Rattus norvegicus: one gene and its partners. The protein of the gene in region 6 interacts with the protein of the main gene of each other region in a pairwise test. Links are inferred from orthologs where the notes say so. Each region holds a gene or a part of one and is shown on either strand. Other genes may lie near its edges. The genes, in order: Ehhadh, Fra10ac1, Gpatch2l, Top3b, Zbtb48, Trim41 and Chd2.

Evidence for each region.
Region 1: the proteins of Trim41 (region 6) and Ehhadh interact in binary tests that used the Homo sapiens proteins (3 or more experiments, as listed by UniProt). The two-hybrid records come from large-scale screens. The link is inferred for Rattus norvegicus from reciprocal best matches to the Homo sapiens genes TRIM41 and EHHADH.
Region 2: the proteins of Trim41 (region 6) and Fra10ac1 interact in binary tests that used the Homo sapiens proteins (3 or more experiments, as listed by UniProt). The two-hybrid records come from large-scale screens. The link is inferred for Rattus norvegicus from reciprocal best matches to the Homo sapiens genes TRIM41 and FRA10AC1.
Region 3: the proteins of Trim41 (region 6) and Gpatch2l interact in binary tests that used the Homo sapiens proteins (3 or more experiments, as listed by UniProt). The two-hybrid records come from large-scale screens. The link is inferred for Rattus norvegicus from reciprocal best matches to the Homo sapiens genes TRIM41 and GPATCH2L.
Region 4: the proteins of Trim41 (region 6) and Top3b interact in binary tests that used the Homo sapiens proteins (3 or more experiments, as listed by UniProt). The two-hybrid records come from large-scale screens. The link is inferred for Rattus norvegicus from reciprocal best matches to the Homo sapiens genes TRIM41 and TOP3B.
Region 5: the proteins of Trim41 (region 6) and Zbtb48 interact in binary tests that used the Homo sapiens proteins (3 or more experiments, as listed by UniProt). The two-hybrid records come from large-scale screens. The link is inferred for Rattus norvegicus from reciprocal best matches to the Homo sapiens genes TRIM41 and ZBTB48.
Region 7: the proteins of Trim41 (region 6) and Chd2 interact in binary tests that used the Homo sapiens proteins (3 or more experiments, as listed by UniProt). The two-hybrid records come from large-scale screens. The link is inferred for Rattus norvegicus from reciprocal best matches to the Homo sapiens genes TRIM41 and CHD2.

The regions. Positions count from the first base shown.
Region 1 is NC_086029.1:92,745,090-92,749,208, reverse strand, and holds the start of Ehhadh (peroxisomal bifunctional enzyme), read right to left. Parts: upstream 2,801-4,119; 5' UTR 2,780-2,800; coding exon 2,706-2,779; intron 1-2,705. UniProt on the Homo sapiens protein: Peroxisomal trifunctional enzyme possessing 2-enoyl-CoA hydratase, 3-hydroxyacyl-CoA dehydrogenase, and delta 3, delta 2-enoyl-CoA isomerase activities. Catalyzes two of the four reactions of the long chain fatty acids peroxisomal beta-oxidation pathway.
Region 2 is NC_086019.1:245,403,384-245,406,883, forward strand, and holds part of Fra10ac1 (protein FRA10AC1 homolog), read right to left. Parts: intron 2,483-3,500; coding exon 2,406-2,482; intron 1,273-2,405; coding exon 1,189-1,272; intron 238-1,188; coding exon 153-237; intron 1-152. UniProt on the Homo sapiens protein: May be involved in pre-mRNA splicing.
Region 3 is NC_086024.1:111,613,075-111,617,230, reverse strand, and holds the start of Gpatch2l (G patch domain-containing protein 2-like), read right to left. Parts: upstream 2,801-4,156; 5' UTR 2,729-2,800; exon of another isoform or gene 695-2,728; 5' UTR 685-694; coding exon 23-684; exon of another isoform or gene 1-22.
Region 4 is NC_086029.1:97,603,161-97,605,597, forward strand, and holds part of Top3b (DNA topoisomerase 3-beta-1), read right to left. Parts: intron 1,747-2,437; coding exon 1,618-1,746; exon of another isoform or gene 1,432-1,617; intron 960-1,431; coding exon 810-959; intron 458-809; coding exon 357-457; intron 1-356. UniProt on the Homo sapiens protein: Releases the supercoiling and torsional tension of DNA introduced during the DNA replication and transcription by transiently cleaving and rejoining one strand of the DNA duplex.
Region 5 is NC_086023.1:167,813,487-167,817,765, forward strand, and holds the start of Zbtb48 (telomere zinc finger-associated protein), read right to left. Parts: upstream 2,801-4,279; 5' UTR 2,699-2,800; exon of another isoform or gene 2,553-2,698; intron 2,220-2,552; 5' UTR 2,217-2,219; coding exon 1,548-2,216; intron 1,185-1,547; coding exon 937-1,184; intron 1-936. Other genes in the region: Tas1r1 (taste receptor type 1 member 1 precursor), read right to left, coding at 3,239-4,170. UniProt on the Homo sapiens protein: Plays a critical role in transcriptional regulation and chromatin remodeling. Acts as a regulator of telomere length. Directly binds the telomeric double-stranded 5'-TTAGGG-3' repeat.
Region 6 is NC_086028.1:33,684,633-33,688,674, reverse strand, and holds the start of Trim41 (E3 ubiquitin-protein ligase TRIM41), read left to right. Parts: upstream 1-1,242; 5' UTR 1,243-1,953; coding exon 1,954-2,760; intron 2,761-4,042.
Region 7 is NC_086019.1:136,665,336-136,668,835, forward strand, and holds part of Chd2 (chromodomain-helicase-DNA-binding protein 2), read right to left. Parts: intron 1,949-3,500; coding exon 1,824-1,948; coding exon of another isoform or gene 1,820-1,823; intron 1-1,819. UniProt on the Homo sapiens protein: ATP-dependent chromatin-remodeling factor that specifically binds to the promoter of target genes, leading to chromatin remodeling, possibly by promoting deposition of histone H3.3.

The DNA of each region.
Region 1 (4,119 bases), on a different chromosome or scaffold from region 6:
GAAAGAGTGGGAGGGAGAGATGGAGAAAGGGAGGGGAGAAAATTAAGGTTAAAAACAAGGATGCTAAGCCATTAAAATGGGATGAACGACTTACCTAAAATTAAAGTTCAGAGAAACACATGGGGAAGCGCATGGTCTAAGAGAAGAAAAAAATCTCCACAAAGCTGAAGCAGATGTTCAGAAGGGGGGCTACTACAGGGGACTGACCACAGGCTGCTCAAGGAGGCCTTGCAAGTGTGGAATAATTTATAATCTCCGTTTCATTTAACTTAAGCGTTCTCCCAACTGGGGAGGGACCCAGCAGGCTAAGAAACACACCGGCTGGCACCAGAAGGAATAGTTGTGAGACTGTGGGATATCTCCCTCCTTACCGCTTGATGGACATAGTGCCTCGTGAAGAGCATTCAATAGAATCCCTTATCAAGTAATCCTGTCAGTCCATGAGCCCCCATGTGGATACAGAATCATATTGCTTATGCTTTCTTTGTGAAAACACATGTGGTCACCACTTCCTGGTTTCTGAGCTGAATGAAATTGGAGTGACCAGTAGTTTGCTTCCGCCCCACCCCCCCAAAGTGGCCAGTAATTTCTGCGTATTATGTATTAATCAATGCTATCCTTCACATTAAAGTAAGTACAGGTTAAGCCAAGGGTAGTAGCACACACCTTTAATCCCAATATTTGGGAGGCAGAGGCAGGTGGCTCTCGGCAAGTTCAAGGCCACCCTAGTTCACATAGTTAGTCTAGGTCAGCCAGAACTGCAAAGTAAGACCCTGTTTCAAAACAAACAAAAAAACCAAACAACACCAGAGCATGTGATACACAGATATACCTGCAGGTAAAAGACCCATACACATAAAATAATAATAATTTTCAAGCTTAAAAAATAAAATGTGGCCTGGAGAGATGGCTCAGCGGTTAAGAGCACTGACTGCTCTTCCAGAGGTCCTGAGTTCAATTCCCAGCCACGTGGTGGCTCACAACCATCTGTAATGGGATCTGATGCCCTCTTCTGGTGTGTCTGAAGACAGCTACAGTGTACCCATAAAATAAATAAACAGATCTTTAAAAAATAAGATCAAATAACAGTGTGGTTTAAATCTTAGTTAAAATTAACATGACTCCTCTTTTATGTTGTTTGTTTGTTTGTTTGTTTGTTCTGAGACGGGGTCTGACTAGATCAACGGTTCTACTGCAGCCTCCTGAGTGCTGCGATTCCACGAATGTGCCAACCTGGCATCTGTTTGGTTTTGCTCCGGCAGCCTGCGGTGGGAATTTTCAGCAAATGGCCCATTTTTGCTTTATTTATTCTGCTGCTGTGCAGTTACTTCCTTGGGACTGAAGCATTCTTTCCTGGAAGGGGCGAAAGGCTAAGACCGGGAAGCTAAAGACACTAACAAGGTACTGGGAGCTAAACACATTGTCTGATGTTCAGGATGCTCAGGAAGCTCAGAAACGTGCAAGGTGCATAAGGCCCCTCGCCCAGGTTACAGGAGCAGAAGCAATTGTAAGGAGTCCCATGAGTCATTGTGTTGCGGTTGGCTTCCAGGGGTTCCATTGTTTTAGAAGTAACTATATTCTTGTAACTAACTTCAGTAAAGTCACTAGTCTACTGAGCTAGACTTAGGAGGAATCATTTATCTGGCCTCTCGCAAACGCCCTCTCTCTGGTGAATGGCTAGCTGTTCTCATCCGTTGTACGGGACAATTCTCCCAGTCAAATCGCTGCAAGTTTGGTGAGTTTGTTTGCCAAAGATCATTGTTGGTAGTTGATTGTCATGGAAGGGGGGGACCAGAACACTACCAGACTATCCAGCCACCCCTCCTTGCCCTGATCGTACCCTCGGGTCGCTGGAGAGGACTAGAGGATATAGGCAGAGAAGGATTAGGGGAGGGGGCTCTTAGCAGCCACCGGGAATCATGATCTTTGCTGCGGAGGCTGCTTCCAATGTGGGAGCTCTAAGGTCACTGGGGCTTCTTCCCCTTCCCCCATACCACCCTGTTCTGCAAGTTAGCCTAAGCCCATTGCACTGGTCCCCTGCAGAGTGAACAGGGCTAGAACGGCACCCAGGTTTGTCCGTTAGGCTGTAAGGTGTCACCTAGGAAAAGGGTTTTAGCAAGGTCTCACCAGTCAAAATTATACAGTCTCCGTCACAATCCTGTCTACTACTTCTGCAATGTATGGGTTATATATGGGTTTTAATTATATTAGCCTCCTCCTGGGGCTAATATAGAATTATATTCTATTCGCGGTGATAAAAAATGAACAGGGTAAATGAACATCATTTTTCAAAAAGACAACAGATCTCATTTTTAACGGTAATGTGCTAAGAGCGTTGCACAGGAGGGTATCGCAGGTGAAGTAAACTTCAGCCTTTCAGAAAATACTATTCAGTAGGCCTCCTCTGACAAGGAGAGTTGACACGCACAGGAACCAAACTCTGCTTTTCTACAAGTCAGTTAACTATAGGTTTTGGCCTCACAGAGACGCTGGGGTTGCAAGCCAGCACGAGGGTTGCAGGAAGGGGGTTCAGACAGCCACTTGCTGCACCAGACTCACCTCTGTGGGTTCCAGACACGCCAGAACCAGACGTAAACACGCCGTGAGGTCACCAGCGGACAGACGGACAGCTGCCCATTGGCCCGTGCTTCCAGCGGAGACAAGCCCCCACCCAGACCCGCCACACCCCGCGGTCCCGGGGTTACCTGACGGCGTTGACTGGCGGGTTGCAGAGGCGGATCATCGCCAGGGAGTGGGGCAGCCTCAGATACTCAGCCATTTTCTCAAGGTATCCTGCACCTCTGACGTCTGGGGCAGCCCAGGGCTCCTTTTCTGGGCGGCCCCAAGAGGAGGGGCGCGCGCTGGGCCAATGGGAACCGCTGCTACTGCCTCCTGCCCCTTGCACTTCGTGCTCTGCCGGGCCGGCTGCGCTCCAAGGAGGGTGATCCTCTTCCTCTAGTAAAGGGATTGTCCAAAGGCAAGCTGAGCTGCTGGATCACACCACCGGAGTCAACCACTTGTTCACAAAGCAGTCATTTGCCAGGGCACAGAAGGCCCTGCCTTCTCTGGTTCTGTCCCTTCTAAAGGCTGGGATTTTTCACAGTTCGTCCAGGAACTGCACACATATTATGGGCTGAATGTAGGCTGGGTATGACAACAAACCATGCCTTGTCTCTTCCCTCTAAAAGCTCAGCTGGGACACGGTCCTTCCAGCTGCGTATGGCTTCTCATGTTTGCCAAAGTCCACCAAGTAGCCAGATGACAGTGTTGACAAGTGTGCAGGTTGACAAGTAAAGGCGTCCTTGTAAATCTTCGCTGATGTTTGCACGTTTTAACAATGTCTAAATATTATTTCCGGGTGCGTTACTTCTTGAAACTAAGAAAGGTTCTGGCTAGTAGAAAAACGCTGAGTCCCGGGAAGCATCGAGCATCAGTCAGACTCATTCCAACAATCGTAGCCCACGTGTCAAGGAGAGCCAGCCACTCAAGTGTGCCCTCAGATGGCAGCGATGACAACAGCCTTGTAGCAAGCAGCTACTTACAAGCGACAGGAATCTCTGTCTGCTGCCTCTAAAACCATGGCTAGTCCCCAAACTCTCCTAGTGTGTTCGGTTGGCAGAAGTCTTCACAGCCAGCCCAGGTCTCGCTTCCTATAAGAAGCATTAACCTCAGCTTTACCTCCCTTCAGATACTGGTGTCTAGGAGATACTGGTGTGCCAGCATCTAGGAACCTGAGCAGGTAGCGTTCAAGGTTTAATAGCACTGAGTAGCCTTATTACATCCCACCCCCTTGGAGCAAGGGGGCGATAATAAGCACATCTCCATGTGGCCATCGGGTCTGCACTTTTATTTTAGTTGAGCACAGAACTTTCTGTGGTGTCTCCCACAGTCAGCTCTTGGTGCAAGCTTCTGGATGAATCCATTAAACTTCTTGGCTGTTTAGAGTCGGCACCTCAGTGGGAGCAGAATCAGCAAAAGGCAAGTGAGGCATTTAGGGGACAAAGTTCGAAGGGCAGCTCCTATCAGGCTTAGCCAGTGCTGATGCTTCCTGCTCCTCCACAACCCAGCCACACACAATCCTAACAATTAGTCCCTCTGTGAGTGTCCCAAAACAGAAAT
Region 2 (3,500 bases), on a different chromosome or scaffold from region 6:
CACAGAGGTTAAGCAGTCAAAATGATATTCCAAAGTTCAAGATAACAGATTCAAATCAGTGCCATGAAAGAATAATGTGGGTCATGGTAGTTAATAAGAATCAATGCTATAGTTGAACAAGAGCTCTAGCCATAAATATTCATAGGGCATACCTTATTTTCTTTGTATCTACTGAGATCTGCTATGCAATATTCCTTGAATAATTTATCATAGTATTTCTTTGCAAGTCTCTTCTCCCTAAATCCATAAAAAGTATGTATTATACATTCAGAAATCCAACCATAGTTTGCTACTTGGAAAAAATATCAAATAGATGATGTATATATGATATAAATATTAATGCTCAAAGAGGCCTAATACAGACAAATATGACGACTGTCTGGAGATGAACTGTTGCGGCTCTCAGAGAATGAGCTGGAGAATTACTCTTCATTTATTATCCTCAGTGATGTCTGACCTTGAAAACCACTTTCATGTATTTTACTTTCCCAAATTATTCAAAGCATTTTATAAGGAACACATAATAGCTTATTATAAGACAACAGACAATAGCATAATTATTTTGGAAGACTAGGTCAAACAATTACAATTGAAATTAAAATTGCCAAAGATTACAAACCAGAATCAAGAGTCCTAAATGTAGATTTCTCTTCTTGATTCAGAAACTGTCCACGAAAGAGCAGAACACCCTGATAAATGATGATTAAGACAACATGTATTGGGACTGCAGAGAGGGCTCAGTGGTTAAGAGCATGTGTTGTACTTCAAAAGACCTTAGTTCAGTTCCCAGCACCCATGCTAAGCTGCTCACAACCTCTTATAATTCTAGATCTGGACAATCGGATGGCTTCCTCTGGCCTCTATGGGTTCCCACAAACATATGTGTATAAAGGCATGCACCTGCTCACACAGAGACACACATACACACACACACACATAATAAAAGAGAAAACAGAGTAAGAAAGATAAGACTATAACACTTGTTCCATTAGATTCTAATGGCAAAAATCGCCAAGCCTTCAGACTGGCAAGCCAGTCTAATTAGGAAAGGCTCTGCCACGAATCCTGATGATCTGAGTTTAAGCCTGAGAAGCACATGGTGAAAGAACTCTTCCCAGTTGTCCTCTGCCCTACACACACACACACACACACACACACACACACACACACACACTAGAGTAAAATTACCAAGTCATGTCTGCTTCATCCTCCTCATTCCATAGGAATCTGTGATTTTCTCGTATAACATCCAGATCTGTCTTATCATTCTCCCTAGAAAATAAAAACTTTAATTTAGCATAAAAATAAAACTAGACAGATTTAGGCTAAACAGTGATGAAATTTTTGAAAATTTGAATAAAAATATAAAAAATATACTTTTATTTGGAAATTTTTAAATAAAACAAATATTTCAATATTTTTAGAAAGTACTTAAAAAATGAAAGGAGCGAGTTCTATAGAGAAACAAATCTGACCAACTCTATAGTGGGTTAGTTACACAAATGCGCTTTGCCACCAAAGCAAGGACACAAAAGCTCACATGGACACTGAGTGAGGAAATGTGAATAAAAACAAATTTCAGAACAGAGCTCTCAGTAGGACACAATGTTACATCACTTTACTAGGTTCCTGGAAAGACCGATAAAGGAAGAAAAGTAAAGAGGCCTGGCTTGCAAGCAGAATAAATAAACATTTGAGCGGTGTGGGCTCAGTGGACAGGGAAGATAAAAGTGGGGTGACTGAGGCAGTGTTAACGTCTTTAGGACTACCTACTCAGATGTCAAGTCAGAGAGAGTCCATGCAAGACTCAGAGCCTCAACAAAGGAAGCATCTTCTTGGATGGGAATCCCGAGTGAAGTTTCCTGATTGCCTTATTTTTTAAATAACACTTTTACTTTTGTGAGATTATAAATATTACATCATTTCCATCCTACCTTTTCTTCCTCCAACTCCTCTCACATACCCTCCCCACTGCTCTCCAATTCATGGCCACATTTTCAATTGTACCATGAAAGCTAGTCCTTAGAAAGGAGGCTTTCAGATCAGAATCATCTCGGGTCATCTGAACCCTGTGTCTAAGTGTCTGGTGTCCTCAGCAGTAGGGACTTCTTGGACCTCTGGAAGAGACCAAGGGCAACAGCAACAGACTGTGTTTGGGGAGTCTTTTGGACACTGCCTTATTTTTGCAAAAGCAATCCTGGACACTACTGTCTAAATGTGTCACTGCTTCAGAGGTCCCATCAACAAGACACAAGAGCAATTCTCACATGTACTGTTATTTCCAACATCATTCTTGTTCAATCATGAGGACACTCCCGAGGCCTGTTGCCAAGTAATTTACAATAGAGGCCTCGAAGATCATCTGCACTTGCCCTATCATCCTCTGTAAACTTCCCAATACTTACCCCAACCGCTTAAAGTCCTCTCTTTTGCCACCATAGTACAAAATATAGTCATTTACAAACTTTGTGTGCCTTTGATACTGAAATGCAAAACATTAAGGATTTTTGTAACTGTTCAGAAGTTGTTCCATTGTAATATATTACTAAATAAAAAGAAAACATGGCATGAGTCTATCTAGCATTTTTAAATGTGCAAATCATGAGGGACACCTGCACAGCAGACTTCCACTTTCTGCTGAAAACATTTCAAGCATGTATTACCTGTAATGTTTGGAACCTTTTTCATGCATGCATTATTCTGTGGTAAAATTGTATAGACTGAGGGGAAAGAGGGAGCTTTCTGTTCTGCTTCTAGACTGCACACAGCTTTATTCTCTCATCCAGTCTAATAATCAAACATGGAAATTGGGGCTTCTAAATTAATGGTAAAAATTAGAATTTATCTTCCATTATTACACAACGTAATAATTAATGATAAAGTATATAAATATAGGATATGTTTATAAAATTAAATCCCACGAACATTAAGGTTTCAAGAACGAAACACAAGCATAAGCAGTCAGGAGGGGAGGTACGCTGGCTCCCACTTCGAATACCAGCATTCAAGAGGCAGAGGCAGGGGGAGCAACTAGAGTTCCTGGCCAGCCTGGGCCTCAGGGTAAGAGAGTGTCTCAAACAGAAAAGAAATCACAGTAATATTTTTTCTTCTCTTTTTAATATTCAGAGAATCCACAAAACCGTATCTATTTTTCATGTGAAATAACAAGATATATGGACATTTAATGTTCACTTAAAAACCTTGGCAGCACTCTCCATACTCAGGCATGGGCAAACTGAGCTGTCTCAGCTTCAGGGATGACCTCCTTCAGACACAGTGATGTTCCTGACACAGTGTATTCTAATAGAGTACTTAATAAGGACATGAAACTAAGGGGGAGGCAGCCCAAACACCTCAAGGTCTGGGTTCAAACTCTCCAACTACCACAAATGGGCATGCTATTTGAACTCTTAATTTTTTCTGTTAGGAGCTAGATGACAAATTTTGCAGGCTTTGCAGTAGTGGTTTCTGCGGTCACTGCTCAGTAGGCTAATGTAACA
Region 3 (4,156 bases), on a different chromosome or scaffold from region 6:
GCTTTACGGAGGGAGAGCTCACCTTTCGGACATGTTCTCGTCGGAGCCGTGTTTCTGTCCCTCTGCTTCGCACTCCATCCTTTCTTTCCTTCCTGTTTTGCTTAGGAAAGTCCGACTTTCTGCTGATTCACACAGCCCATGGCCAGATGAGGTCCAGGGAGTATTCTCCTTCCATCGGGATAAACGCTGCTTCTTGGCAGACTTGAACCTGCAGCCTCTCTCATAGCTCCAATCTGACACTTTCAGCTTCTGCTGAAGGCTGGCAGCCACCTCGGATGCCACTCTCTTCACCTTCCGCCGGCGCCTGAGGGGTCGACAAGGCGCATTTTCCGTAAAGGAGTCAGATTCATGCCAAGAGTGCTGCTTACCCCTAACGATGGCACTGAGAGCTGGGTGCCGTTTGGCCACCACTGTGTCATCAGAGTCACTGAAGTTGGTGAGCGGAGCCACTTCTCGACAGTCCTTGGTGGCCTCATCCAGACTTGACTCAGAGGCCTCGCTGAAGCAGCAGGCGTGCTCAGCCAGGTGAGTAAAGTCGGAACGGCGCTTCCGGCCTCGGCGCTTCCGAAGCTGCCGCCTCTGCTGTCTGGGGCTCAGGGCCATCTCCTCCCACAGCTCACCAAGCTTACTCTGCTCAGATGTCTGCTCCAAGGCTGAGGCTAAGTCATGCACCAGCTCATCCATGAGGCCACATCTGCCAAATAAAAGCAGAAGAGATGCTTTAAAAGACCTGCTGCTTTTCCAGAAAGCTTATAAAGCACATAATGCTATTGGGCTCCCTGGCTGGCTACAGAAAATAGACTTCTTTCATCAGCTACCGTTTCTACCATCCACGTACCACAAAAAGCAGGTGTCTGGCCATTGGCGAGTACTGGAAATCAACATATCCAGTAGCTTGCCAGATGACAACTAGGACATTAGCAAAAATAAACAAATTGAGCTTCCTCCTTTCTCCAATTAAGTGATCCCTTGATTGCCTAATCACTGGAGAAGAAAAGCAAACCACACAACTTCATCATTACGGTAGAGCCAAGAGAGCACCAGGCATGAACCAATCACGATAGAGGGTCACACTGAGGTCTGGGATTTCTGCTAAAAAGGTTGCGGTAGGGAGGAGAGAAAGAGCTGAGTGGCACCTATGAAGAAGACTTCACGATATTCATAGTCCCAGAACTTTCGGTGACCCAAGTAGGTACTCAGAATGGGGGAAAAAAAAGGAAGCCCACGTCTGGTACTACCATGGTACCAACTGCCACCTGAAAGTTATTAGAAACAAACTGCTGTGGAGTATGACACTGATTTGATGTTGCTAGCATTGTTGTATTGTTGTTGTTATATTAGTAGTAGCAGGAGCAGCAGTGTAGGACTTTTAGACCCCTCATCCTGGTGGTGGCAGCAGTAGTAGTAATAGAAACACTAACAGTACTAGTAGTATAGTGTTGAGTCACCCCAATTATGTGCTTAGTGCCAATCACACAAAATCTGGGACATAAATGAAACCAAAATGGAGGGACAGCATAAAATCTCTAAGATACCTGGCTAACAGAAGCAACCCTTTCCAGGCATGCCTAGCAGAGGCAATTTTCAAATTTTCGGTTTTCAAAAAGAAATGTCTAATATCATCTGCACAACACCTAAATTTTGTATGCTAAAATAGCACTTTCTTTCCAGCTCTTGGTAAGCTCAAAATACATCTTGCCCATAATTGGAGCTTAAAGCTGAACTCAGACCGTATTTCCCTTCATGCAATTTACTTTTTGCAAGGGGCTTTCTAAAAATTAATCTCACAGGGTCCCTATGTCAACAAATTCAAAAGCAGGAAAAGTCTTCTGGATTATGTGTCACACTTGTGAGAGCAATAGAGCCACCTTGCTCCAAAACCACCACGGCAACTTCCTCAAAGGGTCAAAAGCCTTACACATAAAAGACCATTTCCCTTTAGCAACCGGTAGTAGTTTAAAATGCCAGGACTGCGGTTTGGAAGACAACTGTCCCTAAGCCCGAAGCTGATAAACAAGTGGGAACAACACGCCTAAGTCTCTAATAAAGAATTACAGCTTTGAAACTCAGGCAGAACTGCACAAACTTTAACGTGGGACAAGTATACTAAACAACGTGTCATCAGAAGCTGACATAGAATTCTTCCGCGTCTCAAAGGTACCCTGGTACACCCACACCTCCAGCCTCACTCTCAAGAGTACACCCTGGAGACCCTGGTCTGAGTCACAGGACGCTGGTGGGCCGCAAAGCAGCGAGCTACTCTCCCAGTCAGAGTAACGAGAGGTGGGGTAGACAGAAGTCAACTTCTTATTTGAGTTCACCTGAGACTGGAGGTCAGCTGTCTAGGGCAGAAACTGTCTCAAATCTTGTCCTAATGACTGCATTCCCTCTGTTGATGCTGGGGAGAGAGGTATCACAGCACCACCACGGATATGAAAAAAAGCCGCGTTTTGAAGGACTCTCTTCCATTTCCAGCCCGTCCTCGGGGGCTAGGGAAACCCTTGCCCGGGACACCAAGCCTGAGTTCTCGCTGTCGCCCATCTAAGGGACATTCCCACGGAGGCGGCCGTCCCTCAGAGCCCAGGCTGAGAAGACGCACCTAGGGTAGCCAGGCCCCGCCACCCTCTGTCACTCGCCACAGCCCAGCGGCGCCGTCGGTCGCCCTGACGCAACCCGGAGCCCTTATCCCGCCCGGCATTGGCCCAGCCGCCGCCATCCTGCTCCTCACCGGCTGCCGCAGTCGCTTGCACCCGGCGCCGCCTTCGGGGCCGTAGCTCCCAGCCTGGGTTTCCCTCTCTGACCTCATTTCCGGTCTGGGCCTAAGAGGTGGGGCTGAAATGGTAAGGGAGGGGGCGGGCTACAAGAAAGGACAGGCGCCCGCCCTGCACTTCCGCCCTACGGTGCGCCTACTTCCGCTCCACGGTGGGCGGGGCCTCTGGGAAACTAGGAAGTAGTGCCTGGAGGCAAGTCAGGACAGATGGGCTAGTATGGGGTGAGGATACCCTTAGGACTGAATGAGACAAAACCTCTCCCTAAGGGTGCTGACCTTAAGAAGTGGGTCGTCTGCCTTCACATTAAGTTACTCATGACATTAAAAGTGTACATGGCTTGAGCAAAAAGCAAATCATACTGTATTATAACTCAAAGCATTAAAGAAATATTAACTCCATATTGAGTGGTTATTGATATTCCATATTCTGTAAGTGGAAAAGAGATACATTTCCCGTAGAAATACATTTCCTGTAGAAGACATAGGCTCTCTTGGAGCATTTTGAACTGTGCACAGCAGCTTCTCTCTGAATAATGCAATATCAAAGGGGTCACTTTATACTGGAGAAGCTAGCTAGCCTGGTCTAAAGAGTTTGTTCCAGGACAACCAGGACTACACAGAGAAACCCTGTCTCGAAAAAGCAAACGAAAGAAATTACACCACGTATGGTTAAGAACTAGCCTACAGAACACTTCACCAGTATTCCTCAAAACTGTTAAGGGCATTGTATATGTCACACACAGAATGTATGGAATGTCTTTCTATATTGAGGGAGTTCCTTGTTCATTAAGTTCATTAAGAAAATGAATCCATTAGATAGGGCTGCAGGCAAGTCTGTAGGACATTTCTTAATTAGTGATTGGTGGGGGAGGGCCCAGCCCATTGTAGATGCTGCCATCTCTGGGCTGGTGGTCCTGGGTTCTGTAAGAAAGCAAGCTAAACAAGCCATGAGGAGCAAGCCTGTAAGTAGCATCACTCCACGGCCTCTGCACCAGCTCCTGCCTCCATGTTCCTGCTCTATTTGAGTTCCTATCCTGATTTCTGCTAATGATGAACAATTCTGTGAAAGTATAAACCAAATAAACCCTTTCCTCCCCAGCTTGGTTTGTGTTGGGTTCAGGAATCGCCACTCAAAACAAACACTGGTTTCAGTTAAGCAATACTGGATGTTCAGGCCCCAAAAAAGGACTGTGGTATCAGAGTCAGAACTAAGTTCAAAAGTTTAAAAAGCAAGGAGAGGAGCAGTTGGCTTACTAAGTACTGCATTATCAGATAACCTTTAAGCTGACTGGTTCTGAGCAAGATAAGGGGAGGTGGATGGGTGGAATTTCACAACACTGTGATAACAGAGCATAAGTATGATAATCATAACTTTTGGCTTATTAG
Region 4 (2,437 bases), on a different chromosome or scaffold from region 6:
TGATGGAAAGAACTGACTCCTATACATACGCACGGATGCATGCAAGCACACACACACACACACACACACACACACACACACACACACACACACACACACACTCACACACGGTAAATGTAAAGCCCCAGTATGTTACTAATACTCATGACAGCAGGAGAGTGAATGGTGGCGAAAGTGAATAGACTGTATATATGGCCTGGTGGTTTATGTTGTTTACTGGTGCTGATTCAGGCCTTTTAATCATTATATGTGACAATGAACATTATTTCTGCTTGACTAATGACAAGAGGCTTAGGGTGATATCTGAACAGAAATGCTCTGGCTAGGTGTGCTATGGTCTTTCAACCTCCACATACCTGGATATACTTCATAAATCGATGGCACTTCCCACAGCGCGAGAGGGGCTTGCCAGTGGCAGCCAGGGGTGAAAAGGATACCTCCATTAACTCGTCCATGCCTGAGAGCAAGCAGAGCACAGGGGTCATGTCCCTCCGGGTCTTTGGCAGCCCCCCTCCAACAGGCAGCTTGGTAAAACTGGGTGAACTAGACAAAGAGGCCAGCACACATGGTCAAGGATCCAAGTGCGACTGTGTTTCTGTCAGTGATGGAGTGCAGAGCCAAAGCCCTGCTCACCAGCTTTGTATGTTCCTGATGCTGATATTAATTAACCTGCTCCTGGCAACAGCAAATGAGGAGGCATCACTGCTGTGACCGGTAGAGGCTCAGAGCCCAGATCTGGGGCAGGCCTCAGGTAGCTCTGTCCTGTGGGAGTAGCTGCTGATGAGGGGCAGGGAAGAGGCAGGTCTTACCAGCAATAGAATCAACAAAGTAGTGGAACTTTCTCTTGAAGATATCCAGGGTGTGGCCCAGCACCTGGTGGTAGTTGGCTTTGCCCTGGGCAATAAGGTTCAGCTGCTTCTCCACTGCGCTGCGGATGGTGGGGAGCACCAGCTCTGCATCTGTGAACAAGTGGGTGGAGTGGCTGTGGGCACCCAGGACTCTGCCGCCCCACGAGGCAGGCAAGAACTGCTGTCCTGCTCAACCTAGCTCTGACCCAGTCTTCCTGGGCTGCTGGTCCACAGAGTTGGAAGGCACCAAGGGCAGTTCCTATTGCTACCAGACTTTTCCTCAACTTCCCATCAGGAAAGTTTGTGTAGAAATCTTTTGCAGAATGGCCAGGTCCATGATGTACTTCTCTATCTCCCATAGAGCACAAGGCACTTTAGTGGGCAGAGTTGGCAGGTATCTTAGTGAAGAACCCAAGGTTTGTACCCTGGGACCCATTACAATGTGTTCATCCATCAAATGCCTGAGTCCCACAGCAGTGGGGATTGGGGAATGCATGAGAGCACGGGGTCACGGCAGGAGGCAGCAGAGCACAGGAAGGAGCAGGAAACCCCGCAGGCCACGGCAGTGGGTAGACAGACTCACCAATCTTGTGGTAGCCGTGCACCAGAACTATGTCGAGGTTGGCAGTGGGTAGACAGACTCACCAATCTTGTGGTAGCCGTGCACCAGAACTATGCCGAGGTTGGCAGTGGGTAGACAGACTCACCAATCTTGTGGTAGCCGTGCACCAGAACTATGTCGAGGTTGGCAGTGGGTAGACAGACTCACCAATCTTGTGGTAGCCGTGCACCAGAACTATGCCGAGGTTGGTGGGCTTGAGCCGGCGGCCGTTCTCCACTGTGACGTAGTTGCGCTGGCAGATGTTGTTGATGTGCACAGGGATACTGGCATCCGTCCCTGGAATGCACAGCACTGCTCAGTACTCTGCAGTTTGCCCAAGGAGATGGTCTGGACTATGCCCTCTAGTGCCTTCCACCCGTCACAGAATCCCTCCTCGACACCCATAAGGGGCAGGGCCACAAAGTGAAGCCTGTTTGCTCATTAGGTCCAGACTGCTACTTCCTGTATGGCTGCCAGAAGCCATGATGTAGAAACATGTCCAAGATAGAGCAGGGCTGTGTCTGCACTGTGCTGGGGCATACCTGTGAACCCAAGGACAGCCTTCACCAGTGTTTAAGCTTTAGTTAAAAGACAGAAGCCCAGAGAGGGCATCCTCTGAAGCCAGTAAACAGGAGTTGGCCTTTTCTATCCAGAAACTGTGTCTTGTGGCCCTCTAGACATCAGGATCCAGCTTCTACCAGAGAGCTCACAAAGCTACTGTAGAACCAAGCTGGTTTCACCCATCTCTCTGACTTTCTCCCACTCTCTAGACCCCTCACACACCCAAAGCAAGCATGTTCCCACCCCAGGGACGCAGTTTCTTTCACCCTGTACAAGTTTCCTGGCAGAGATGGAAAAGTGAAGGGGATGCATCTGCTGTGTGATGTCAGGGGTGTAAAAAGGAACTCAGCAATGCATACACACGTGGAGTGGTGGCCGGAGAATGTTTTCCCTGGGTACCTGGGCAGGGTTTCCTGGGGGAGATACT
Region 5 (4,279 bases), on a different chromosome or scaffold from region 6:
CTTTGTTGTTTTGAAACAGTCCTAAGACTAGGTATGGTGGTGCACATCTTTAATAGCAGCACTCAGGAGGCAGATACAGGTAGATCTCTAAGTTCTAGGCCAGCTTGGTCTACACAGTAAGTTCCAAGTCAACTTGGAAAAAGAAGTGGAGAGGAGGCAGGTGGTAGTGGCACAACCTTTGATCCCAGCTCCGGAGGCAAAGGCAGGCTGATCTCCGTGATTTTGAGGCCACCCTGGTCTACAGAGTGTTCCAGGACAGCCAGGGTTACACAGAGAAACCTGGTCTCAAAAAACAAACAAGCAAACATATTAAAAGCCCTACAAAGGGGGTTGGGAATTTAGCTCAGTGGTAGAGTGCTTGCCTAGCAAGCGCAAGGCCCTGGGTTTGGTCCCCAGCTCCAAAAAAAAAGAAAAAAGAAAAAAGAAAAAAAAAAAAAAAAGCCCTACAAAGCTAACGAGAGGAACAAACCTCCAAGCCCTCCAGGGTCCCTGCTAGACAAACGGTCCCTCATACATAACTGACACACAGAGCTAGACAAATGGCCCCTCATACATAACTGACACGCAGAGCTAGCACTCTCAGAGACACAGGCAGCCTCCGACCTTCCTTAAGATCAGCCTCTTGTCACAGCCTACACTGCCTATCAGACCTCAGCTCCAGCTTGGGAAGGGGCCAGAGGCTTGTCTCATGCTTCATGTGGGCAGAGGCCTGCCCATGGTCAGTCAAACTCCACAATGGGTAGAATCTACTGACCGGGTGTCCACAAACCCATAATTCACAGGAAGACAGGAAGAGGGGGCAGGTGACCAGGCACTATTAGGGCCTGACATAGAACCCCCAGCACCACAGAGCCCAGAGCAGGGGAGTACAGGGCCCCTTCCCACAACGTGGAGGGGCGGATAGGGAAAGAAAATAGAGAGAAACAGAGCATTTACCTGTTGTGGACTTTTAGGTAGTATTTGCTGAGGAACTTCTTATGACATGTGGGACATTCGACCGGAACTGCTGCACCTTTTCTGCCCTCGGTGGGCTCGGCTGTGAGGGAGCCTGCACCCAGGGCTGGCTCTGCCGCACACGGCTTTCTAATCACTTTTGACTTCCTCCTGGTCAGCACAGTCTCAGGCTCAGATGCATAATCGCCATCACCATCCCTGTCGTCCTCAACTTGAACCACCACTTCCCACTAGAGTAGAGGAGGCAGCAGGAGGGGATAGGGTCACCCAGGTATCAGCAGGGACCTGCCTTTAACTCCAACATAAGCCCCACCCCCTGGACAGTCCCTTCAGCAGAGACCCTTTCCCTCCGGGTCCAGAGAAAATGGCAATGTTGGACTTGGAGCACAATGGCTGTGTTAGCAGCCAGGTTGACTAACCTAAGGAAATACCCGTAACCCTGATGCTCACTCCACCCCAAGGAAGCTGGCAACCATGGACAAGTGTAGCTCGCAGGAGGTCAGCTGAGACCACTGGCTTCCTATGTCTGCTCCAGAAGTGCCGGTCTTTACCCTTATGCCTGCCTCCCCAGCTCAGCACCCTGGAAACAGTACCTCATTGCTCTCGCCCTGCAGTGGGGCACCTTCAGCTTCAAAAGGCCTTGGGGGCTCTTTGCTGTCCTCAGACTCTTTGTCCGCTGGGGGAGAAGGCTTCAACACCTGCTTGAGTTTCCCACAGAGGAAGGCCGGGCTGCTCTGGGCAGGTGTGCTGAGCTGGGGCTGCTCACCGTCTCTGGGCTCCTGATCCACAGAGGCCAGGCTCAGAGTCCTGAAAACTTCCTCCTCATCCAAGTCTGTTGGCTCCTTGAGGTGGCTTTTCACATCCTGGGAGGAAACTTGGCCCGGTCCACTCTGTGCCTGTCCCGCTGAGGTTTGGGGCTGGAAGCTCTGACATAGCTCCACAGCCTCAGGCACCCTCAACTCTTTGGCTGCCAAGAGCACCTGATCCCTGTTCCCTGAGGTGAGGGCGAGGTGGCCAGTGTAGAAAAAGTCCAGCAGGAGGCCAAAAATCTCAGCAAAACCTGCAGGGAGGACAACACTGCCCCCTGAGCCATCCCCGTAGATTCTCTGGAAGAAACGGCTGCAACACGCCAGGACACTCCAGTGCGCCTTGAACACCAGGCCCCCCACGTCCAGCGTGGCGTCGCAATACTGGCCCTTCTCACGCTGCTTGTTGAGTTCCTGCAGAACCCTCACGCTGTGCTGTACGAAGGAACCATCCATAATCTGGAAGGGAAGGCAAACATGACACTCTGGCCAGCCCCAATCGGGGAAGCCCTTTTAGACTGAGGGTGAGATGGACACTTTAAACATCCACCCATGTCGGGATGAAGGCCTGGGTCAAGGTTAGAAGGTGCACACGGGGCACACAGCCAGCGTGGAGTGACAGCCTCTTGGGGGCGGGGAGCGGCATGGGTTGGCCAGAGGGGAGAGAGCGGGAGAGGAAGTGCATGGCGCGAGACAGGACTGGGTCCGTCGGGATAGGGTGCTGGTGGGAGAAAATGAAAATGAGAGTTTGGGGGACAGAAAAGCGTGGACGACAACTGATCTGTAGCGCACCCAACGCACAGCCAGAAGGGCAGGGCGGCGGCTGCGCACAGGTGACCCAAGCCCACGCCGCGCCTGCACGTCGCGGACGGCAAGTGGAAGGCGGCGGCCACACTCTCCTCAGAGCCCGAGGCGCCTCCCTCCCGCGCCCTCCTCACCCTGCCGGTCCTCCCGGCTCGCACCGGCCTCACTGCTCCGGGCTAGACCACTTCCACCGCCCACAAGACTAACTACTGCCCGGCCCACAGCGCGGAGACGCCGCCGTCGCCGCGCCGGATGTGACGTATAGGCGCTCAGGCCAGAACCGGACGCCTCGGCGGCGCAAAGTCCTTAGGTCCCGCCTCGAAGGCGGAGCCTCAGAGAAAGGCCAATGGGCAGCATAGAGGGCGGGGCAAGGGGTAAATTCAACTGCGCTGGGTCTCAAGTCCGGAGTTGCCAGGTAACACCAAGCTGTGCCCTAGACTCCCACTCCCGCTTGCTGTGCGGTCCCAAGCTCTCCCCACACCGGAAGAGCAGACAAGAAACCACACACACACACACACACTTCCCGTCTTTATTGCACTGGATTCTTCCGCGTGCTTATACATCGTAAGCTGTGCCGGAGCTCTCCCAGACACCTCAAGCTCTCGGCCCCACTGGACCCGCCACCTTCAGCACAAGAAGAGAGGCTTCCTTCCCGTCTGCACCTTTCCAGTGGATCAGGTAGTGCCGCAGCGCCTCGTGTAGTCCTGGATGGAGGCCTGAAAGTGTTCTGTATTGTTGAGTTCTGGACGGCAGAGAATCACATAGCACTTGGGGAGGAAGTAACCGCTGAAGCCGCCGCTCAGTGTGGTCAGCCCTGCCAGCACATTGACCGCAGGCAGGTAGCTGCCCTGGTAAATGCTGGCCATGGTGAAGAAGGCGATCCAGGATACGAAGTTGAGGAGCAGGCTGAAGGTGACACATTTGGCTTCATTATAGTTCTCTGGCAGTTCCTTACCCAGGTAGCTGCAGACGAAGGTACTGATGGAGAGGAGAATGTTGTGGGTGAAAGCCAACAGGAAGCCTACAGAGTTGACCTCTGTGCACTCGAGAATCACCAGATGGGGGAAGCGCTGGTATTCCCTGGTGGGTCGTGGGGTCCACATTACAAGCCATGTGAGACAGATGAGCAAATGGACCGTGGAGCTGACAATGACGAATAGACCTGCACCATGGTTTTGGGCCCAGGTACGGTAGAATGTGGGCACCTTGGTAGAAAACTTGAAGATGATGACCAGTTGGAAGGAGCGGATTGTCAGGCAGGAGAGGAAGATGGCAAACCCGAGAGAAAAGAGGGGCTGACGCAGCAAGCACGCGGGCACCGTGGGCTCCCCGAAGAAGCTATAGAAGCTGCAACTTCCGGCCACCAGGGAACCCAGCATGAGGAAGCACAGCCTACCCCCAGCTGACCTCACTACAGGTGTGTGAAAATGCCAGGCAAACAGGCCAGCAGTCCCAACCAGCAGCAGCAGCAATAGCGTGTTAGCTGCTATTAGCACCAAAGAGATGGGTTCATGCCAAGCCAAGAACTCCACCGTGCGTGGGAAGCAAGTAGTGCTCTCCTTGGGTGCCCATTCTTCTGTTCCACAAGGCTGGCAGATGTGAAGCTCTGAAAGGGAAGACAAGGTTTCTGAGAGCCAGGTGAGCAGAAGGAAGGGGAAGATGGGGGAAGGGAGGTCCAGGTCCTGCAAGATTCTGGGAGAGTTGCACCTTGGCAG
Region 6 (4,042 bases):
ACTACACTACGGAAACCGCACTGTTTACAGCGCTGCTCGGCAAGCTCCTAAAGCTACAATCGGACAGGCTTGCGTCCACTTCCTAAAACCAGATTTGCCCCACTAAGGTTCATGATCTTAGTACGTTCAATTAGAGGTGTTCTGAGGTCACGGTACCCAACTAAATCTGCGCTCAGAGGATATGGTGCATCAATTATTTATGACCCCCAGACTAACAAAAACGAGATTAAAAAAAAAAAAAAGCTGCAAGAGAAATGCTTTGGGGACCACAGGGATAGGATTCTCTCACAAATAAGTTCCACAACACAATTCGGGACGCCTCTTCCCCTTAGACTGAAATTCTCAGGAATACAAATCTCAAAAGCATTTCGGATGAACGACATGAAAGGTGTGCACGGCCCACAGAAAGTATTAAAATTGGAATAACCCCATTACGCTTGGAAGATATTTCTAAAGAGAACACACGGACTTGTTCCAAAGGATATACAAAGAACTACGTAATCGGAAAAGTGTCTTTACTGACTGGCCAGCCTTCCTAGAGAAATTCTACTGTCTTCTTCCCTCCACAGACGAGAATATGGTAGAGTAGCTAACTTCAACACCTCAAAATCCTCACGAAATTCTGTGAGGTAGCAACTATGGTTTACTTTGTATGATTTATTTTATATTACTACATATTTACTTTGTGTAGACATTCAAAGTACCAAATACACTTAACATTACTTGCCCTCCTATATACTCCAGTGTTCAGCAATCTGCACTTTTTACTTAATTTATTCCGAAGATTCCTTTTATATAGCTGAACAGTGTTCCATTTAATATGAACGTGGATATTAATAATAAGTAATGGGAGAAGTGACCAGTTGACAGGGTTTTTGTTTTGTTTTTTGTTTGTTTTGACTGGTTGCTGGTTGTTGTCTGGGACAGGGTCTCACTTTGCAGTTCAGGTTAGATAAACCTGGAACTTGTCACAATTCTCCTGCCTCACCCTCTCAAGTGCTGGGTTTATAGGAGTGCTGTAGTTCGCCGGCAATGTTGCAGTTCCTAAAACGGACACGAAAATGCCCAGCACAGAAGGAGGGCGGAGCCCCTCTAACTCCAGGCTCATCATATGCCGTCAGGCTCCGCCCAAGATCCTATTTGGAGGGACCCCCGGAGTCTCAAACGAACAAGTTTTGGGTCTAGAGGGGCCGGAAACATTGGAGGACGCTGAGCGGACCCGCCCCTCAGCTTCCGGCTCTGGTCCTGGGAGTCCCTTCTGCAGTCGTCCGTGCCTGGTCGGTAGGATGGCGCTAGGCCGCTGCGATTGTAGCACGGAGAACAGGGCGCTGCTCAACGTCCTCGCTACCCTCCGCCGTCTGTCCCCGCTGGCAGGGCATGGGGGCTTCTTCCGCTCTGTACGCGTTCTTCGCGGCCAGTCATCACCGAGATGTGGGCCTCCGCCGTCCTAGCCCTCCCGTCCTGTTCCCGCGTGTCAGCTAGAGCGTCTCCTCCTCGTTTCCTGTCGCTCCGGGGCTGGGCGTGGGAGAAGGGGGCGTAACACACCCTCGAAGGGAACTCGTGAGTTCAGGTCGTGTGGAGACGCCGGAAGCGTTGGGAGGGAGGCCGGAAGCTGGGGGGCGGGGCCAGGAAGTGAGGAGGGGCGGGGGTTTATGAGGAGGCCAGGGGAGCGTTGGGGCAGATTTGCACTCAGGTCCACCTGAGGTACTTGTCGGTGGTACTCACCTCTGTCCCCTCCCTTCTGTGAGACAAGGTTGTCGTCTCGGGGTAGGGGACTGTGTGTGGAGGGGCGGGCTGGTCGGAGGACATTCCTTTGCCTCGCCGCAGGCAAGGTGTGGAGAGGCTGGGCTTGGGGTGGGGACGGGTCTTCTGGGCTTCAGAGACGGGAGACCCCCCCGCCCCACCCCCCCGCTCCCCCCACCGCACTTCTACACTGGCTGACTGGACACTAAGATGGCTGCCGTTGCCATGACACCCAACCCTGTGCAGACCCTTCAGGAGGAGGCGGTGTGCGCCATCTGCCTCGATTACTTCACGGACCCCGTGTCCATCGGCTGCGGGCACAACTTCTGCCGAGTGTGTGTAACCCAGTTGTGGGGCGGGGAGGATGAAGAAGACAGAGATGAGTTGGATCGGGAGGAGGAGGAGGAGGTCGGAGAGGAGGAAGAAGTGGAGGCTGTCGGGGCAGGCGGGGGTTGGGACACCCCTATGCGCGATGAAGATTATGAGGGTGACATGGAGGAGGAGGCCGAGGAGGAAGAGGAAGGTGTGTTCTGGAGTAGTGGTATAGGCGGGTCTAACTGGGACAACATGGACTATGTGTGGGAGGAGGAGGAGGAGGAGGAAGAACTGGACTATTACTTGGGGGATGTGGAGGACCTGAGGGTGGAAGATGAGGATGAGGAGGAGGAAGTCCTGGAGGAAGACGAGGAAGAGGAGCTGGACCCGATCACCCAACTGCCACCACCTCCAGCCCCTCGGAGGTGCTTCACTTGTCCCCAGTGTCGAAAAAGTTTTCCTCGGCGGAGCTTCCGCCCCAACCTGCAGTTGGCCAACATGGTCCAGGTGATTCGGCAGATGCATCCAACCCCTGGTCGAGGGAGTCGTGTGAATGAACAAGGCATCTGTCCCAGACACCAAGAAGCCCTGAAGCTGTTCTGTGAGGTGGATGAAGAAGCCATCTGTGTGGTGTGCCGCGAATCCAGGAGCCACAAACAGCATAGTGTGGTGCCATTGGAGGAGGTAGTGCAGGAGTACAAGGTGAGTAAAAGAGAGGAGGCAGATGTAGTTAGGATGGGAAGGAGGTAAAGAGAATTGGGGACGGGATGTGGGTTCTCCTAACAGGACCTTGTCATTGAAAACTGATTCTCCCTGTCTAAGCACTGACTTCAAGGTGGGTAAATGAGAAGGATCCTCTAATTTCCTTTGTGGCTTAAGGATAGGGGGACTAGTGACAGGGAGTGCTTCACTGCCAGTACTGTTTTCTTCTGGATGAATCTGACATGGGTAAGACTTAAGATTGCAAGAAATGGAGACCTAAAGAACAAGTGAAGGGCCTGAAACAGGAGCATAGAAATAGCCAAGTGTCAGATTAAAAAAAAAACAAAAACCACTTGTCTCTCAATGGTTTCCACACCTCTCCTAGGATATGGCTTTGTTGGCTTTTCTCCGCACCCAGTCTCATGTATTAACCAGAAAAGAGAGAGGCTCTTAGGGCAAAACATCTTGCTCAAGTTTGAGAGTGTCTTTGAACTTTCATTACCACAGGCATATTAGTTAATATTCACAGGACACCTTACATATAGTCAGAACTGTGCTGGCCACTTTTTATAGATTATCATTTATAATTCAAAGACACTGTGAGTTTGATGTTTGCTATTCTCATTTTATTGATTGGGAAACAGGTTTAAGTTCTGAACATGGAGTTTATATGCTGTACAGCCTTAGTGATAGACTTTGATGTGAACGTCCTCCCTTTGGGGCCTACATCCTACTTGGATATTTAGTTTGACTTTCTGACTTGACTGTTCTTGGAGTGTAATTTCATTTGGTTAACTGTCTGGTTATTTCTCTGATCCTTTGGACATATGTGAAGGACATTTATCTATGAGACATCCAACACAGAACTACCTTCAGAATCGAAGCCAGGAACTAGGAGTGTGGAGCCTCTGTCAGGCCAGAGCTTTGTTATTTGTGATTCGATCAGTAACTTTATTTAGGTGGTCATCATTAACAGAGCTTTAGAGTCTGAGGCTTCACAGCTGATCGTCCGCTACTCGAGGAGGTTTGCAAACGTACAGTAGGCCGTACTGCAGAAGTTCAGAGTCAGTGAGAGTATCTATAGAAAACAGCCTAAGGGGGATTTAGCTCAGTGGTAGAGCGCTTACCTAGGAAGCGCAAGGCCCTGGGTTCGGTCCCCAGCAATGAAAAAAAGAGCCAAAAAAAAGAAAGAAAGAAAGAAAGAAAACAGCCTAAGATGGGCATGCAAGCCTCTAATCTGAACACTTGGGAAAGCGGAAGCAGGAATATCAGTTCAAGGTCA
Region 7 (3,500 bases), on a different chromosome or scaffold from region 6:
AAACTATGTTTGGGAAATACAAAGTAGCCTATATGGCAGTTAATTAGAGATCTAGTCTGACCGTAGTCTGTAAACATTATTACAGGCCAGTGAGTGGCTAAAGGGGAAAGCCATGTGCCATAAAGCCTAACTATTTAAAGACAGTCCCCAGCATCAGGGAGTAGGGAAGTAGGATTCTCTCTTCTCAGTAATGCAAGTATATAAGTACACACAGGTCACATTCAATGTAAGCAAACTTTTTTTAAAAATTAATAAATAAAAATAGTACCACAATGTCCACCTTAGCCCAAGATTTTGAGTTTCCCTCAGTACCAGAACTGTGGGGCTGCCAAGGACCCTCACAACTCTGATATTTGTTGGTTGTTTATGACTTTATGCTTCTCCTGGGTACTGCAGTTCATCTGGGTCCTTCCCAAGCTAAACCCCATTGCCATCTGTTCAGCTTAAGCCCTCAGCGGCTTGCTCTCTTTGGCAGGGGACTCCTCCTGTTTCCCTGTAGACACCAGCTCTCCTTCCTGTTTTCAAAGCCCAACTCCCTCTTGGAGGACTGACTTGGCCCAGACTAGTTTTGGAAGGCTCTTGGTGGGTCTCTCCTTCTTTTCTGACTCTTTTTTTTTTTTTTAAGATTTGTTTATTTTATGTATGTGAGTACACTGTAGCTGTCTTCAGAAGACAGAATAGGAGCCACTACAGATGGTCATGAGCCACCATGTGATTGCTGGGAATTGAACTCAGGACCTCTGGAAGAGCAGTCAATGCTCTCAACCATTGAGCCATGTCTCCCACTATCTTTTCTGACCCTTTAACCCAGAAACATGTGCACGATTTAACTGCAGCTGTTCACCATGTCTCCCGAGGTACACAAATGTCCGTATACTTGCTTATAAAGTAGAAGCAGCACAAGACAAAGCCAAGCGAAGGCAAGAGCTGGCAGCTGGACTCACTTCAGGAGCTATGGCTGGTTGATAATCCTTGTCAAGTGGAGCTTAAGACACATAGACCTGAAGGTGTTTGTACTCTTGTTCCTGTGCCTGGAGAGACACAGCTACGAGAAAGCAGATCAACCCTTCCTGCTCTCAGCTAGACTCACGCTACTGGGACTGTATTGCAGCCAAGTTTCTGCGCCTAATGAATTGGTTTGCATGTATATGTGCTTGACTGGTGAACCAGAGTATTAAAAATATTTACTACTAGAAATAGTATTAGCTAATAATAGTAGCTACAAAAACAAGGCATTTAATTTACCAAAATCATAAACAGATGACTTTTAGTTAAAGGCCAATTTGGGGAGCATACTGAGTCCTAGGGCAAGCCAGAACTACACTGAGAAACTACCTCAAACAAACAAAACATGCTAATGAAGGACTACGTAGCAAATACTGTGCAACTCTGAACAAACCTCATGCTATCTTTGCTCCTAAGCACCACCAATTATAAAATAAAAGGGCTAGCCCACACAATCTCTTTAGTGTCGTCTAAGTTCTTAGTTCCCAGTACCCATGCGACAGCTCACAAGCAGGTCCAAGATATCAATGCCCTCCTTCTGGCCTCTTTAGGTACATGGTACACAAGTGGTACACAGACATACAAACAGGAAAATACCCATACACTTAAATAAAAATGTTTTTAAAACTGTGTGCGGGAAAAGTCTGCTGTCAGCAGTGAAGGAAGCTCTGACATGAGGTATCACATAATGAATGACAGAGGAATCACGCCTCCCTTGAATCACTCAAACCCTCCAAGCCGAAATTGCCTACACTTAGCTCTTAGGATAATAATAAGCCAAACACAACAGAGAAAATCTAACCATATTCTCTACCTACTTGCACCAGGAGTGAGCAAGCCAGTTGAGACCCTCCAGCTGATAGTCTCGGAGCTCCAGATTCTCTCCTCCTAAGTATGCTGGTTGCTTCTTCAAAGCTACAAACCGTGGTCTTTGCTTTAGTGCCTGGGAAACAAAAATTAACAAAGCATAAGTCTTAGAACATTTTTGCTTGATCTTAAACTACAATACTAGTCATAATTCAGGTATGAACTGTCGCCTCACCTCACCCTTCCTATTCTGTTCCCAGAGTTGATCCTAAAATAAAGTATTTTTAAATATATTCTTTTTCTGACATAAATCTGTGAACATTAATTTGCTCTTAATTTGTTCATCCTTTACTGTGTGACACTCAGAGTTACCTTGATGTTGTCACCTTTTCTAAAGAATACAGCAAACTCTGGAAGTCTTATTAAGTGTATGACATGAATGTATTGCTGGCATGTATGTATGTGCAGCACATGTGGGCTTAGTACCTGAGGTGATCAGAAGAGAGTGGCGGGTCCCCTGGAACTGCACCCTGGTACTAGACAGTCATGAGCTGCTATGTGGGCATTGGGAACGGAAGCTCAGTCTTCTGCAAAAGCAACAACTGTCCTTAAGTACAAAGCCTACCCCTCAGGCTCCAGGACACTGTCTCATTCGTTATTAAGCACAACAACAGTTTCTAAGAGGTGGAGGAAATGTAAGCACTGGCTGTTTTCCTCAGGAAACCTCTTCCAGTGCCCACTGGAGCCACATCTCCACCTCTGTTCTATGCTGACCATGGCCTCTGCACCACAATCCTGAGCAGCAGTCACACCCTGTCTTCCACAGACGGGAAGGAGTTCATGTTAGTAACATGAACTTCCACTTCTCTAAGATACAGGCCAAGGAACCAGGAATATTTCTAGACTTCAGCAAATTCCATGAGAAGACTTGTACAATCAATCGAACAATAAAAAGCTTGTATATTCAGTTTCTAATTTAAAATTCAGAGACATCTTTCCTGTCTGTTTTAAAGTATCTAGTTTCAAATATTTCTCACAATATAGCTAATTACAAAGTATCAAATTATAGAAACCAGCAAAAAAGTGTGTGTGTGTGTGTGTGTGTGTGTGTGTGTGTGTGTGTGTGTGTGTGTTACTGAAGTAGACCACATGCATACAGGATGCTCCAGGTGAGAAGATGGCACTGAATCTCTGAGAACAGGAGTCACAGGCAGCTGCAAACCACAACCTAGGTGCTGTGAACTTAATTCAGGTCTTCTCCAAGAGCAGTGAGCATTCTTCATCTCTGAACCCTCTCTCCAGCCTCTCATCCTCTACTTTCGCTTTCTTTCTTTTTCCTTTGAGACAAGTCATGTATAAACCAGGGTGGCCTTGAACTCACTACACGGCCAAGGACGACCTTTAATCTCTTGATTCCTCTGCCTCCACCTCCTGAAGCATGGGATTACAGGCATGCCCAGTGATGTTCAGTTTTGTCTGGTGCTAAGCAATCAAACTCAAGGACTGCACATGCAGGCACACTCTACTCTCTGGGCAAATTCAACAGCCCATGCCATAATTATTTATATTTAATGTAACTTTTAATCATCATTGACTCTTGTTGTATTTTTACTTCTACATATGTGCCCAACTAACCCTTTGGTTACCACACTTTTCCACAAAAACAATATAAAAGTAGGCTGGGGATG